2 linked regions of the Drosophila melanogaster genome follow. The protein of the gene in region 1 interacts with the protein of each later gene in a biochemical or structural test. Each region holds a gene or a part of one and is shown on either strand. Other genes may lie near its edges.

Region 1 (4,588 bases):
CTATACGGAGTACGAAGTCAAAGTCCAAGCCATTAACAGTGTTGGCAAGGGACCGGAGAGTGAAATAGCTGTCATACACTCCGCTGAGGACATGCCACAGGTGGCTCCTCAAAAGCCCATTGCGCTCGCCTACAACTCCACATGCTTTAATGTCACTTGGCAACCTATAGACATGTCCCGTGAAAACATTCGTGGCAAACTCATTGGCCACAGGGTATGGTTACTGCACTTAATTCCATTGCATTGTCAAAAACCCTTATCTTTCACCAGTTGAAGTATTGGAAAACGACGCACCAGGAAGAAGACTCGGTATACTACCTGTCACGTACTACAAGGAATTGGGCGCTTATCGTAGGTCTACAACCAGATACTTACTACTTTGTTAAAGTCATGGCTTACAATGCTGCAGGTGAAGGACCTGAAAGCGAACGCTTTGAAGGTGTGTAACGAACAGTTTAAAAAACCATTTAAAGAAAATGCTTAAACACCATGCTTTTTAGAACGAACATATAGAAAGGCCCCGCAAAAGCCGCCATCTTCGGTTCACGTGTATGGAATAAACCCGTCTACCGTGCGGGTTGTTTGGAGATATGTTTCACCTTCGCAAGACGAGGAACCAGTAGAGGGTTATAAGGTACAACTCCCGGCACCGTGACCAAGAAAATCGATTACAGTTTGAAACTTTCTAGGTTCGCATTTGGGAATCGGACCAGAACATGATTACGGCCAACAATACCATAGTGCCAATCGGACAGAAACTGGAGTCGTACATCAACAATCTGACGCCAGGGAAGAGTTACAACATGCGAGTCCTCGCATACAGCAATGGAGGAGACGGTCGCATGTCCAGTCCAACTTTACACTTCCAGATGGGCAAGACCACGCGCAACGGCGCAAATACCCGACATGGCCACAATATCAATACGGCTCTTATCTTAAGCACATTGCTACTCATTAGCACCTTTCTTTACACAAGCCAATGAATGCAGCACAAATTAAGATCCATAACTTTAGGCAGTAAGAACATACATATACTAAGAAGTGACCTTATATTTGAGTAAGTGAAGTTATAAAAAGAACTACATTCCATCCGTGCTCTCTTGCAAGCCCCTTAATTGATACAAATGCAATTCCGTCCATTTTATAGACTTTTATCAAAAAATAATTTCTAAAATTTTATCAACAAAATAAATATGAATACCATTATATGGTCCAGTATGTTGCTGAACTAAAAATAACAATATCCCTATTTTTTTACTTGGAATAATGAATTATGAATTAATTATGAACGTGTGCCCCGGTTGGCCATATTTATGTCCCTTTTTGTTCACCTGGTAATACTACTCCTGCATTTTATACCCGATACTCGTGAAGTAAAAGGGTATACCAGACTAGTTAAAAAATATGTAGCAGGTAGAAGAGGTCTTGATCAGGATCGATCTGGCCATGTCCGTCCCTATGGACGTCGAGATCTCAGAAACTATCACAAATCAAAATTAATTATTGTCCAAAAATATCAAAAAGAACTAAGAACTAAGTGTTTATTTTTGGTTTTTCGATTATTTATTTTGCTGCTATTTCATCGCCCGCGTAAAACGGGCGGACATGGCTATATCGACTTGTCTGTTTTTACTGATTAAGAATATTTAATACTTATATATATGTATACGTAAATGTCTATTCGAATTTCCTTTCTACCAGGTACCCGGTATTCTTCTACAATTACAAACGAAAGCCATCTATCGGTGGGGTTACATTTATTGCTCACAACGCCGGAATATGTCATTAATGAAAAAAAAAGTTTGGTTTTTTCTTACTTTGCGTTAAAAATTAGTGCAGTATTGCAAATGGCTAGCTATTTTCCGCATACGGAAATACCACACAATACCAATCGGCTTCGGGAATCCCCCTAATATTACATGACGAATCTAATATGGTGCTGCGGTCCTCCTCGGTCACACTGAAATACTGCGAGCAGCGAGCAGTAGCTGTGGGCATTGGCAAAAACATAGAGAGAGAAGATAGATGCAAACATGGTTTTATAGCGGAAATCTCATACAATCGCACTGGACATCTGGGAACTTGAACCATCGACCTGCCACAGGCAAAGGCTTTCCCGTAAGGTTATCCTGGGTAGCTAAGGGAACACCATGGCGTATGGCTGGAACGGATGCGGAATGGGCGTGCAGGTGAACGGAAGCAACGGCGCCATAGGTTTATCCTCGAAGTATTCTCGCAACACGGAGCTGCGACGCGTTGAGGACAATGACATTTACCGGCTTGCCAAAATACTAGATGAGAACTCATGCTGGCGCAAATTGATGTCGATCATACCCAAGGGCATGGATGTGCAGGCCTGCAGCGGAGCCGGATGCTTGAATTTTCCGGCGGAAATCAAAAAGGGATTTAAGTACACTGCGCAGGACGTGTTCCAGATTGACGAGGCTGCAAACCGACTACCGCCGGACCAAAGCAAGTCGCAGATGATGATCGACGAGTGGAAGACCTCTGGCAAGCTCAACGAGCGGCCCACGGTTGGGGTATTGCTCCAACTTCTGGTGCAGGCAGAGCTCTTCAGTGCGGCAGACTTTGTGGCACTAGACTTCCTAAATGGCAAGTATGACTATGTTTGCCTTAAACTGACAAAACTAAAAAAAGTGTATCCACTGACTTCTCTAGAGTCCACCCCTGCCCGGCCTGTTGACGGTCCCGGTGCGCTCATAAGCCTTGAGCTGCTGGAAGAGGAAATGGAAGTGGACAACGAGGGGCTGAGCCTCAAATACCAGTCAAGCACTGCCACTCTTGGGGCAGACGCTCAAGGTAGCGTTGGCCTGAACCTGGACAACTTTGAAAAAGACATTGTGAGGCGGGACAAGAGTGTGCCCCAGCCGTCAGGAAACACCCCTCCCATAGCGCCACCTCGACGACAGCAAAGGAGTACTACTAACTCCAACTTTGCAACATTGACAGGCACCGGAACTACGTCGACGACCATCCCGAATGTGCCCAATCTGACAATTCTCAATCCCAGCGAACAAATTCAGGAGCCAGTGCTGCAGCCACGACCGATGAACATCCCCGATCTGTCTATACTCATTTCGAACTCTGGTGATTTGCGGGCAACTGTGTCGGACAACCCAAGCAACAGAACTAGCTCAACGGATCCGCCTAACATTCCGCGAATCACTCTTTTAATTGATAATTCTGGAGATGTAAACTCTCGACCAAATCACGCTCCAGCGAAAGCTTCAACGGCTACCACATCAACGGCGAGCTCAAACAACTTGCCAATGATAAGCGCCTTGAATATAAGTAAAGGCAGCAGGGAGACCTTGCGTCCTGAGAGCAGAAGCAGCTCCAGCAGCTTGAGCAAAGATGATGACGATGATAACGATGGTGAGGAGGATGGAGAGGAAGAGTACCCAGATGCCTTCTTGCCAAATCTGAGTAACTCAGAGCAGCAGAGCTCAAACAATGACTCCAGCCTGACAACGGTTACTGGCACCAGTGGTGATAACAGCTTTGAGCTAACCAACGACTCCAGCTCCACCTCAAACGACGATTACGCTTGCAACATTCCAGACTTGAGTGAGCTGCAGCAATAGATAAAAGCACCGACCATCGGCGGAGATGACATTCCGTTCGATAACTTATGCAACCCAGATGTATTCATTTGGCAGCTGGGTGTGGACCTTCTTATGTTATGCATGAGGTCCAACTAGAATCTAAGATTCAGTGCACGATTTGTTCATATCACGTCTGTAATCGTGACAGTACATGACAAGTACGGCAATATCAAATATTTCCGTTTCAAGAAAGCCATAACCCAATACCAAAATTTAACAAATTTTGTATACTTACGAAATACTCCTTCATTTTCTAGTATAAATTTCCTTAAACGCATAATGGGTTTCTGTGACAGTTTTGTCTTGGGACAAACTGCGATCTTATGACATTTTTCGTTATTAATTGATTGTTGCCTAAAATATTTCACAAGTACGATATAATGGCTAAATACAAATAAAATATTTTTGAAAACATTGTCTGTTTTTCTCGACGTTCATACTGATAATATACCACATGACCGCTTAAGTCAAAGCCTTTTTCAGGGCTGTAAGTTCAAGAGTTTAAGGCGACTGTTTTTTCTCGGTGAAAAAACTTTAGGTTTTTCAAATGAACGAATGCATTTTGTATGTAATTTTTGTACTATTTTATTTATGTGCACAGGTTAGTTTCGTTTAGTTACTAAATTAATACACTGTTGTCCGTTCCAAAATGTACACTTACCTTTCTCCTCGGATGACATGTCCATTGCCTTTTCCGTATAACTGCAAATTTTTGATTTTAATTGTTTTATTTTTGTTGTTCGAAACAGCAAACAGTATTACTCCACATTTGCTCTAATGCCCCGTGCCCGTGGCACGCAGAATAGTCGATCTTCAAACTGCTGACAATTAAAAATGTCTCGCACCTTGTTTTTATTTAAATTCTCATTTGCTATGGCGGGCGCGGTACGATATTGGTCCCGTGCTATCGCGTACCATTCATAATATCGATATCTTAAGAACAATAATCGGGAATTTGTTGG
Region 2 (8,268 bases), on another chromosome or scaffold:
GTTACCAATTAGCCGGATATGTATTTATCAACCTAAATGTTTCCCAATACTCGCCAGCCCGATTGCACAAAGGTAATTTAATAGGTTTTTGGTCTCTGGCGTTAAATTAATGTGAGATTCAAAGATACTTTGTAGCCACAAAACAAATTTACATGCATAAACATCACATGAAAACAAAGAGAAAAATAACAAAGTGCATGATTTTAGGAAATATCTTAAAAACAAACAAATTTTTGTTTTTCCATTCAAAACTGATACGGTTAACTCTTAACTAAAAACTGGCTAAATTATTTGCAATAAATATCTGATTTAAGAGCACATGTTTCAGGTAAATTACGTGATTTTATAGTTGGACAGTTTCAGCTTTTCCTTACAATTAGTTTTCTCTGTATACGAATTTATTTGTTTTTAAGCCATTTGGCGAGCAGGGAAGCGGAATTTCAATGGCGGGCAGGGCGAAAACAAATGGAAAGCTTTAAATTAGCTCAATAAATTGTAAACTTAAACATTTAATCTACTTAGAGCGGGTCGTTGTTAAATGCAATGCAAGTACATCTGGGACAAAGAATCACACACCTCATTCAGATTTGTAAGATACGCATTTTGGCCCAGAAAGCCATTCGAATTTGACCACAAATACACACAGGCTAAAACAGAGGCTAAAATAATCAAATTTGTCGCCAGGCAGTCACAAAGGATATTTAGTATATACAATCAAACAACAATATACTTAGTAATTGCATTTAACACATGGGGCAGAGCATATCCACTAGGTTTGCAAAATTGATTTAACTGCATGCTTAAACTAACGAAAGTAAAAAGGAGATTAACTGAATGAAGGAGGTAGGGGAGACCTAATTAAAAGAACACAACTAATGTCTATATTTATGGCTAGCTAAGTGTAAAAATGTAAGCTGAATTATTATACAAACAACTACAATCGAAGCAAGTAAATTGATGTAATTGAAATACTCGAAACGTTCTAGGGCGAAATACCAATGAATATTGAATAATGACACAGGTTAAACACAAACACGCAGCAAGCATAAATTAATGAATAACGAAATTATTTCTCGAGAAAAAAATCAAACTTTTTAGCCTTTGAACGAGAGACTTTTGGTGCCCAATCCAGTTTGAGCAATTATTTACAAGTGAAAAATGAACGAAATACAAAGAAAGACACACAAACCACACCACACACAGGCAGATGTATTGTAAATAGAGCCACAAACAAACCAAATGAGTAAATACCAAGTAGGTACATTAATAACTAATGATGGGGCTTATCCGAGTAAATCAACATTAAATAAATTAACAACGGAATTCAAACAAAAGCAGGTAACTTCAACTTCAACTTGTGTGCAAGGCATCAACTTTTACTGTTAATTGTTGCTGGCAATGCAAAACGCAACGCCGACCGAAAAACGAAAACTACAAAAATAAACCATGAAAAAGCAAAACAAATATATTTAAAATACATTTGAACGCCTTCAGCGTTTTATTCATCAAGCAAAGCAAGAAATGTTGAATCGAAAGAAAAAGTCAAACAAAGCCATAAAAGCGATAAATCAATTTGTGTCACCTGTGTAGTAAGTATATCTCAGTATTTGTAACTGAAAATGAAAAGCGTTGAGGTGCAGGCATCAACCACACAAAGAACAAACAAAATCAAATGAAAATAAACTGAATTTACAAGTGCTCTCTGACTATTATTTACGAGAGTGTGGTCCTTGGTTGGCATGTTCATTTCCCCACATTATCGTCTCAAATCAGTTGATTTCGGGGAAGCAATATTTCTCGGTAAAATGAGTAAGTATGTCTTGGACAGGTCGAAATGTAAAATATTCCTTTTTGAGGCACCATTAAAGGTACCATTCTCTGCATAACTGAAAGGAGTTAGATTGCCTACATCAGCCGGTCGAATAGGAGAGTGCGTTTTTACTCACTTTACTACTCTTCTTGCTTTTGCACTAGCAAGAAATCATTATCAATTATGCTTATGAATAATTAGGAATCCTACGGCAAGAACCAACGTTCCTAAATTATATTTAACCAACCGGAAATTAAGTCAACCACTCTTAGAGCGCCATCTGGTGAATGCTTTTGGAACCTATTAAAGTGTGGCCCGCGCACCAAAAATACCGCAACCGATAACTGGCCCCGATAAAGTACCAAACCTCGCCGATGACTGGCCACCCGAAAAGCTGTGACTCGCCAAGCTTTTGCCCATCGATCGCCACGAGCTTATCGGAATCGCGATCTGATCTGAAAAGTGGGAACGCAGCGCAGATAAATTAATTAGCAATTAGCCAGTGCAAACAGAGTGTTGTCAGCCGACTAGAAAAAGCAGCTGAGCTGATAGTTCCGCCTGTGGCCCCCGCGCTTTCGCCCTGCATCGGAACGAAACCAAAATAAACAAGCGAGTGAAAGGCGGTGGAGAAAGAGCGCGGGAGAGTGAGCGCGAAGAGTAGTCCGTTGGGGAGGAGGCGGAGGAGGAGCGGACAACGAGGCAGAAACAAAAGCACAAACGGCGGACAGAACCAGTCGAAACAAAACAACAAACCGGAGCGGACGCACTCGAAAAAAGCGAAACGAATTTATTTCTGTGCTTAGGGCGACACTGTGTGCGTGCGCCACTGATTGTGAGTGTGTGTGTTGTGTATATTTAAACAATATTCAAAAAATCATACGCCAGACGAATAAAAAACGCGACGAAAACGAAGGCGAAGATCTCCATCTCCTCTCGCAGCGGAGCAGACAGATAAATAAAAACAGAATCCGAGACAGCAACAACAACGCGACTGTGACGCGGCAAGGTGCTGGAGGTCACTCGGTCCATTTCGCACCGCACTGAAGTATAGAAGTTTAGCAGTAAAGCACCACCCCCTTCTAACCAGTTTCAGCTTCATCCGCCCGCAAAAAACAAAAAAAAAACAAGCACGCGCGATCGGAAAACTCGAAAAAATCTACAGAGCAGCACAACTCACGCGCTTCATCGTTTTATTGCTCGCCGCCCTCTCGACTGATAAACGTCAGTTGATAAATATATATCGCATCACATCGCATCCACACTAAAACAAATACGCCAGCAAACAAACACCAATTATTCCAATAAAGCCAGCGCCAAGTGCGAATGCGCCCTCGATTTGTATGCCATCAGCAGCACTCGGTGGCCCATTCCCACTACCAGCCCCACTCCCACTTCCATCACCATACCCACCGCCATCCCAATCCGCCCCATCACCATCACATTTACGGCGCCACTGACGTCAGTTATCGGCGTTATCGCACCGCTGGCATGGTGGTGGCCGAGGGAGTTATGGACTCCGGGTCGGGATCGGGCACGGGAACGGGCTTGGGGCACTTCAACGAGACCCCATTATCCGCACTGGGCATCGAGACCCGCACCCAGCTGTCCCGCATGCTGAACCGCAAGAAGGTGCTGCGATCCGAGGAGGGCTACCAGCGGGACTGGCGCGGCATCTCGGAGCTGGCCAAGCAGAAGGGATTCGTCGACGAGAACGCCAACAATCCCATGGATCTGGTGCTGATCAGCTGGAGCCAGCGGAGTCCCCAGACCGCCAAGGTGGGCCATCTGGAACACTTCCTGGGCATTATCGATCGGTGGGACGTCTGCGACGATATCCAGGAGAATCTGGGTAGGCATTAACTATTTTTTACTTATGGTAGTCGCTATCTATCTATAACTAAACTATGTCACTTGAGTTTTGAGTATCATTTGTTTTAGATTAGCTTTTAAATGATGGTCTGACGATTCGACTTTTACTTCAAAATGCCATCGTGACAGTGAAAATTTAGTTAAACGTCTAGACTAACTATGTATGTTTGACTGTTCTCGAGTTTGCGAAGTTGAAGAGGAATTTTAAATAATGTACTTATCAAATGATATGTACACAAATGTTGGAAATCGGAAAATGAACCATTAAATTTTACTTTAATGGCGAGCCACACTTATCAATTATTTTTGGCTGATCCATTTTTGGTTTTATGACCGGAAAAGCCGTTTCGAGTTTATAAAAATGGACGTGGTAATCTATATAATATAGGGAGTATATGCAGAAAGCGTACATATTTAACTTATCTATCGCACATTTATCTAAGTCAAACAAAGCTTATCGTCGGATACATAAAACTATTGAGTTATGATGAGTAGATACGTAATGACAGAAATAAAAGTCACCCACTTTCCCATGATTAATTTGTGTTTATTTCTATTTATTGTCAAATAAAACGCTTCGACTTACAAGATTTTTATTACCACATCCCGACAAATTGAAAAACACACAGCCATAAAGAAAAAATTCAAAACAATAATTTCTAAAAGCCGCAAACAACAGAACTTAAACTATAGAAAATGCCAATCAGTTAAGAACGAAATTTTCTTATTTATTTGCACAATGGGGATTCACCCAGCAAAAACTGTTGTCATTAATAAAAAACCTCGAACAGTCAATTTTGTTTAGGAGCAGATGTTGTATAGATATATTCGTTGTGACCAAAATGGTTCGATTTAAAAACAAATGAACGCACTCGGAAGTTGAATGCTTAAGGTATAAAAAAGCACACATAATTAAAATCGTATTAGGAATTTTTCAAAGGAAATGTTTGAATTCCTTTTCTAATGATCTTTCATTGGGTGTTTTAGAAATATTCCAATAAAACTAAAAATAACTAAAAAAGTAAATTTTTTATAAATGTGTCGTTGATGATAACTGCTTGAATCTAGAATTCACTACCTCTTACTAGAATGATCTTTTCTGCTGACAATATATTTGGAATAAAAAGATGGGGAGACAATGGCAGACATCTGAATGGATATATGCATACACTTATCTATTCATACATAATATTGAGTTACAAATCATAAATACTACCAATTTGTTATGAAAGCTTCATATATTAGCGACTGTGTGCAGAAACTCAGATAAACTTCACTATGCCATTCCTTTAAGCTCATTATATATCAACAAAGGGTTATATTTATTATTTAATAAACATAATTTAAGTAATTTGATTTTGACATTAACATGTATAAATTGTGTTGTTTACTTTACGAATGATGTGTTAAGAAAACTTTTTGTGCGGCCTTGTAGTTTTTAGCAATCATAATCCCTTTAGTAAAACTGTTTTAATTTTGCTCTCCTCAAAAGCCAAGGACACCCAGCGCTTCATCATGAAACAGGAGCAGCGACAGACTGCTCTCGTGGAGGCGTGTCCGCCGCCCCCCAGCGACTGCTTCGAGACCAACAACAACTACAGCAGCAGCAACAACATCACAGTGGGCCAAAGTGTGCAGATCCTCAGCGACGAGGACCAGAGATGTGTACAGATGGGCCAACCGCTGCCCAGATACAACGCATGTGTTCTGTACGCGGAGGCAGACATCGATCATGCCACCGAGATCATGAATAATCTAGAGTCTGAGCGATACAATCTCAGGGTGAGTGGGATGCGCTCGGTTGCTGTGTGTTGTATTAAATAACCATGGGATCGTTCTATTGCAGCTATTCCTGCGCCACCGCGACATGCTAATGGGCGTTCCGTTCGAGCATGTCCAGCTATCCCATTTCATGGCCACCCGCTGCAATCACCTGATCGTCGTGCTCACAGAGGAGTTTCTTCGGAGTCCGGAGAACACGTACCTCGTGAACTTCACCCAAAAGATCCAGATTGGTGAGTAGCTGATACGCATTTGTATCGCAGAGCCAGAGTCGCATTACAAGTTCAACGATCTGACTTTCCCCAGAGAATCACACTCGCAAGATCATACCGATTCTGTACAAAACGGACATGCACATACCCCAGACCCTGGGCATTTACACGCACATCAAGTACGCCGGGGACTCCAAGTTGTTCAACTTCTGGGACAAGTTGGCTCGTTCCCTACACGATCTGGATGCCTTTTCGATCTACTCCACGCGCCAGGTGCAGACGTAAGTGTTGCTACTTCCTGCGATATATGTATATGTATGTGTTCCAAAAATACTTGATACATTTTTAGGGGTATAAAATCTCAAGATAATGTAGATTGCTAGCCAACAGATAAATGAGGTTTGCAAACTGAATACGAATACATGAAGTAGTCTAGTCATCCCAATTTAAGAAGCTGTTTTAGAATACATTTTATTAGCTTAAGTTTTTGATTTTACTGTTCAATTATTGCTACTGCTGGTTGTAGGGGCTGCGAAATCGTTTCACAACATTCACATAAAATGTGCAAATGTATACCAACTGCTTGTAAACAAAATATATAAGCAAATATCACATGGCGTACGAGCGATCAACCTTAGAACAGCCTAGCAGGTATTTTTATTTAGTTTTGCTAAATTCAAAGAAGATACGTTTGTTTCAGAAAGATGAACTCATACGACTTTTAAAGTGCCCAGGAAGTAATACACTGCATATGAGTAATCAAATTTGAAACAAATTTATAAACAGGAAATAAATGTATTATATATCTGGGCGTAAGATTATATTGAAGCGAAATTAGTTTTGCTGTTAATTGTAAAACATGTTGGAATTTTATCACTCATATCATAAATTTGGCATTCTCTAAAATTTCTTTATGCAGTCCCTCGCCGGTGGAGGAATCGGCTCCCCGGGTGACCACTCCCAGCATTCGGATTCAGATCAACGACAAGGATGTCACTGATATGCCAAACTACAACAGCTGCAAAGTGCCGGAGGCGGAGACCACAATCGTTTCGGTTTCCGGTGACACCGGCTCACCCCTGCCGGAGCACAAGCCGAAGAAAAAGGATCGCTTCCTGCGCAGAATCACGCACAGCTTTGGAAAGACGGCGCGGAGCGATGGGGCCAGCGGCAAGACTCTGCGTCATGCCCACTCCGTCAGCACCATAAATGTCACGGAACGCGAGAGGACACTCAGTGCCAGCAGCTCCAACATCTCCACCACGTCGGAGAGCAAGAAGAGCTTCATCAAGTGGCAGCCGAACATCCTGAAGAAGGCCCTATTCTCGCGATCCAGCAGCAAGCTGCAGACGCCGGGCTGAGATCATAGTGTTAGGATAGCCATTCATTCGATTTCTCGATTCTTTGATTCCTTGTCGTGTGCCCAGTCTAGTTGTGGCCGCCCAGTCACCAATGTCGTCACCCTCCATGCCTAGTGATAATCTTTAGCCTAATCCTTATCAAGTCAACTAACTTAATATACTTAGACGCACTTGTTAACTTATATAAGACAACAACGAATAAAGACAATACCACATATCCGCACAAATGTATCACAAAAGCACACAGACTACCAAATACGACACGATATTGCTATATGCTCTATGTATATGACTCTGGACTTGATAAACAGACAAATTGGCAATTGCGTTGAGTGAGGTTAAATACGCGACACTGCTAATCGAAGTGCTCAATTAACTGTTAGTCACGCGTTCGATAAGTGACTTACTTAATTTAATTATCTCGCGCGCCGTTCTCGCAACTCAGACCCCATCTGAGAATGAGTAATGAGCATATATAACGCATACGTACATATGGCTGCATTGTGCGAGCAGTGCTTTATCATTTTGTAAACTGCTCAAGCCGTTTTAGACGATTGCTAGCAATAAGTAAACTGTTTGTTCTCGGTACCGCCATCGGCTGGTTGCCTCATGTGATTAGCTCTAGCCTAGCTGTTACCGATTGTTACTGATTGCTGTGAATGCGTGCCCATATGCCTGATGTGCACCTAAGCACACTCACTTGTTATAAAGCAAAGACTATCAATACGTCATCCATCATCACATCGTCTCTTTCAATGTATCTAGAGTCTATATAGTATTATATGTATCTCCGGACAGTGCGTTTCAAAACCATATAGAGTCGATCGACAACCATATATTATGTCCAACTTTTGTCAAGCGACAACGAATGTGGATAAAACGCAATATACATATGTTCCTCAATGTCGGGCATCGAACGCTCGAACTTCGACCTTCGCGACACGTGGCACTTGGCGGTCATGGTTATGAAACGCACTGTATCCATATCGGAAATAAGCTAGCTCCAGTTGAGCGGCAATAAACTGTTCAATGTTTGGCTCAATAATTTATTGTTGAATGTAGACAACCTTTAGTTCGTTCATGTTTAATAAACATTGCAGTTGATGTGTGAATCCCCGTATATGTATTTACATACAGTTGTTCGCGTACATATTGAGTGGAAATGTTTATCGACCAGTTCCGGTTAATCTACAAGACAGTTCGAATCGGTTTAAATTTTTTGTATTTTTTTTGT

What was found. Proteins that work in one complex are often made in the same cells at the same time.
Region 2: the proteins of tub (region 1) and Myd88 form a complex in vitro, tested with the Drosophila melanogaster proteins (one study listed by BioGRID).

What each region holds. Positions count from the first base shown.
Region 1 is NT_033777.3:4,385,780-4,390,367, forward strand, and holds tub (tube), read left to right. Parts: upstream 1-1,962; 5' UTR 1,963-2,150; coding exon 2,151-2,613; intron 2,614-2,679; coding exon 2,680-3,605; 3' UTR 3,606-4,034; downstream 4,035-4,588. Other genes in the region: Cont (contactin), read left to right, coding at 1-214, 271-439, 501-634, 690-983. UniProt on the Drosophila melanogaster protein: Plays an essential role in the Tl receptor signaling pathway that establishes embryonic dorsoventral polarity; the signal directs import of dl into ventral and ventrolateral nuclei, thereby establishing dorsoventral polarity.
Region 2 is NT_033778.4:9,302,660-9,310,927, reverse strand, and holds Myd88 (Myd88), read left to right. Parts: upstream 1-2,205; 5' UTR 2,206-3,133; coding exon 3,134-3,659; intron 3,660-5,171; coding exon 5,172-5,461; intron 5,462-5,525; coding exon 5,526-5,694; intron 5,695-5,767; coding exon 5,768-5,954; intron 5,955-6,592; coding exon 6,593-7,034; 3' UTR 7,035-8,105; downstream 8,106-8,268.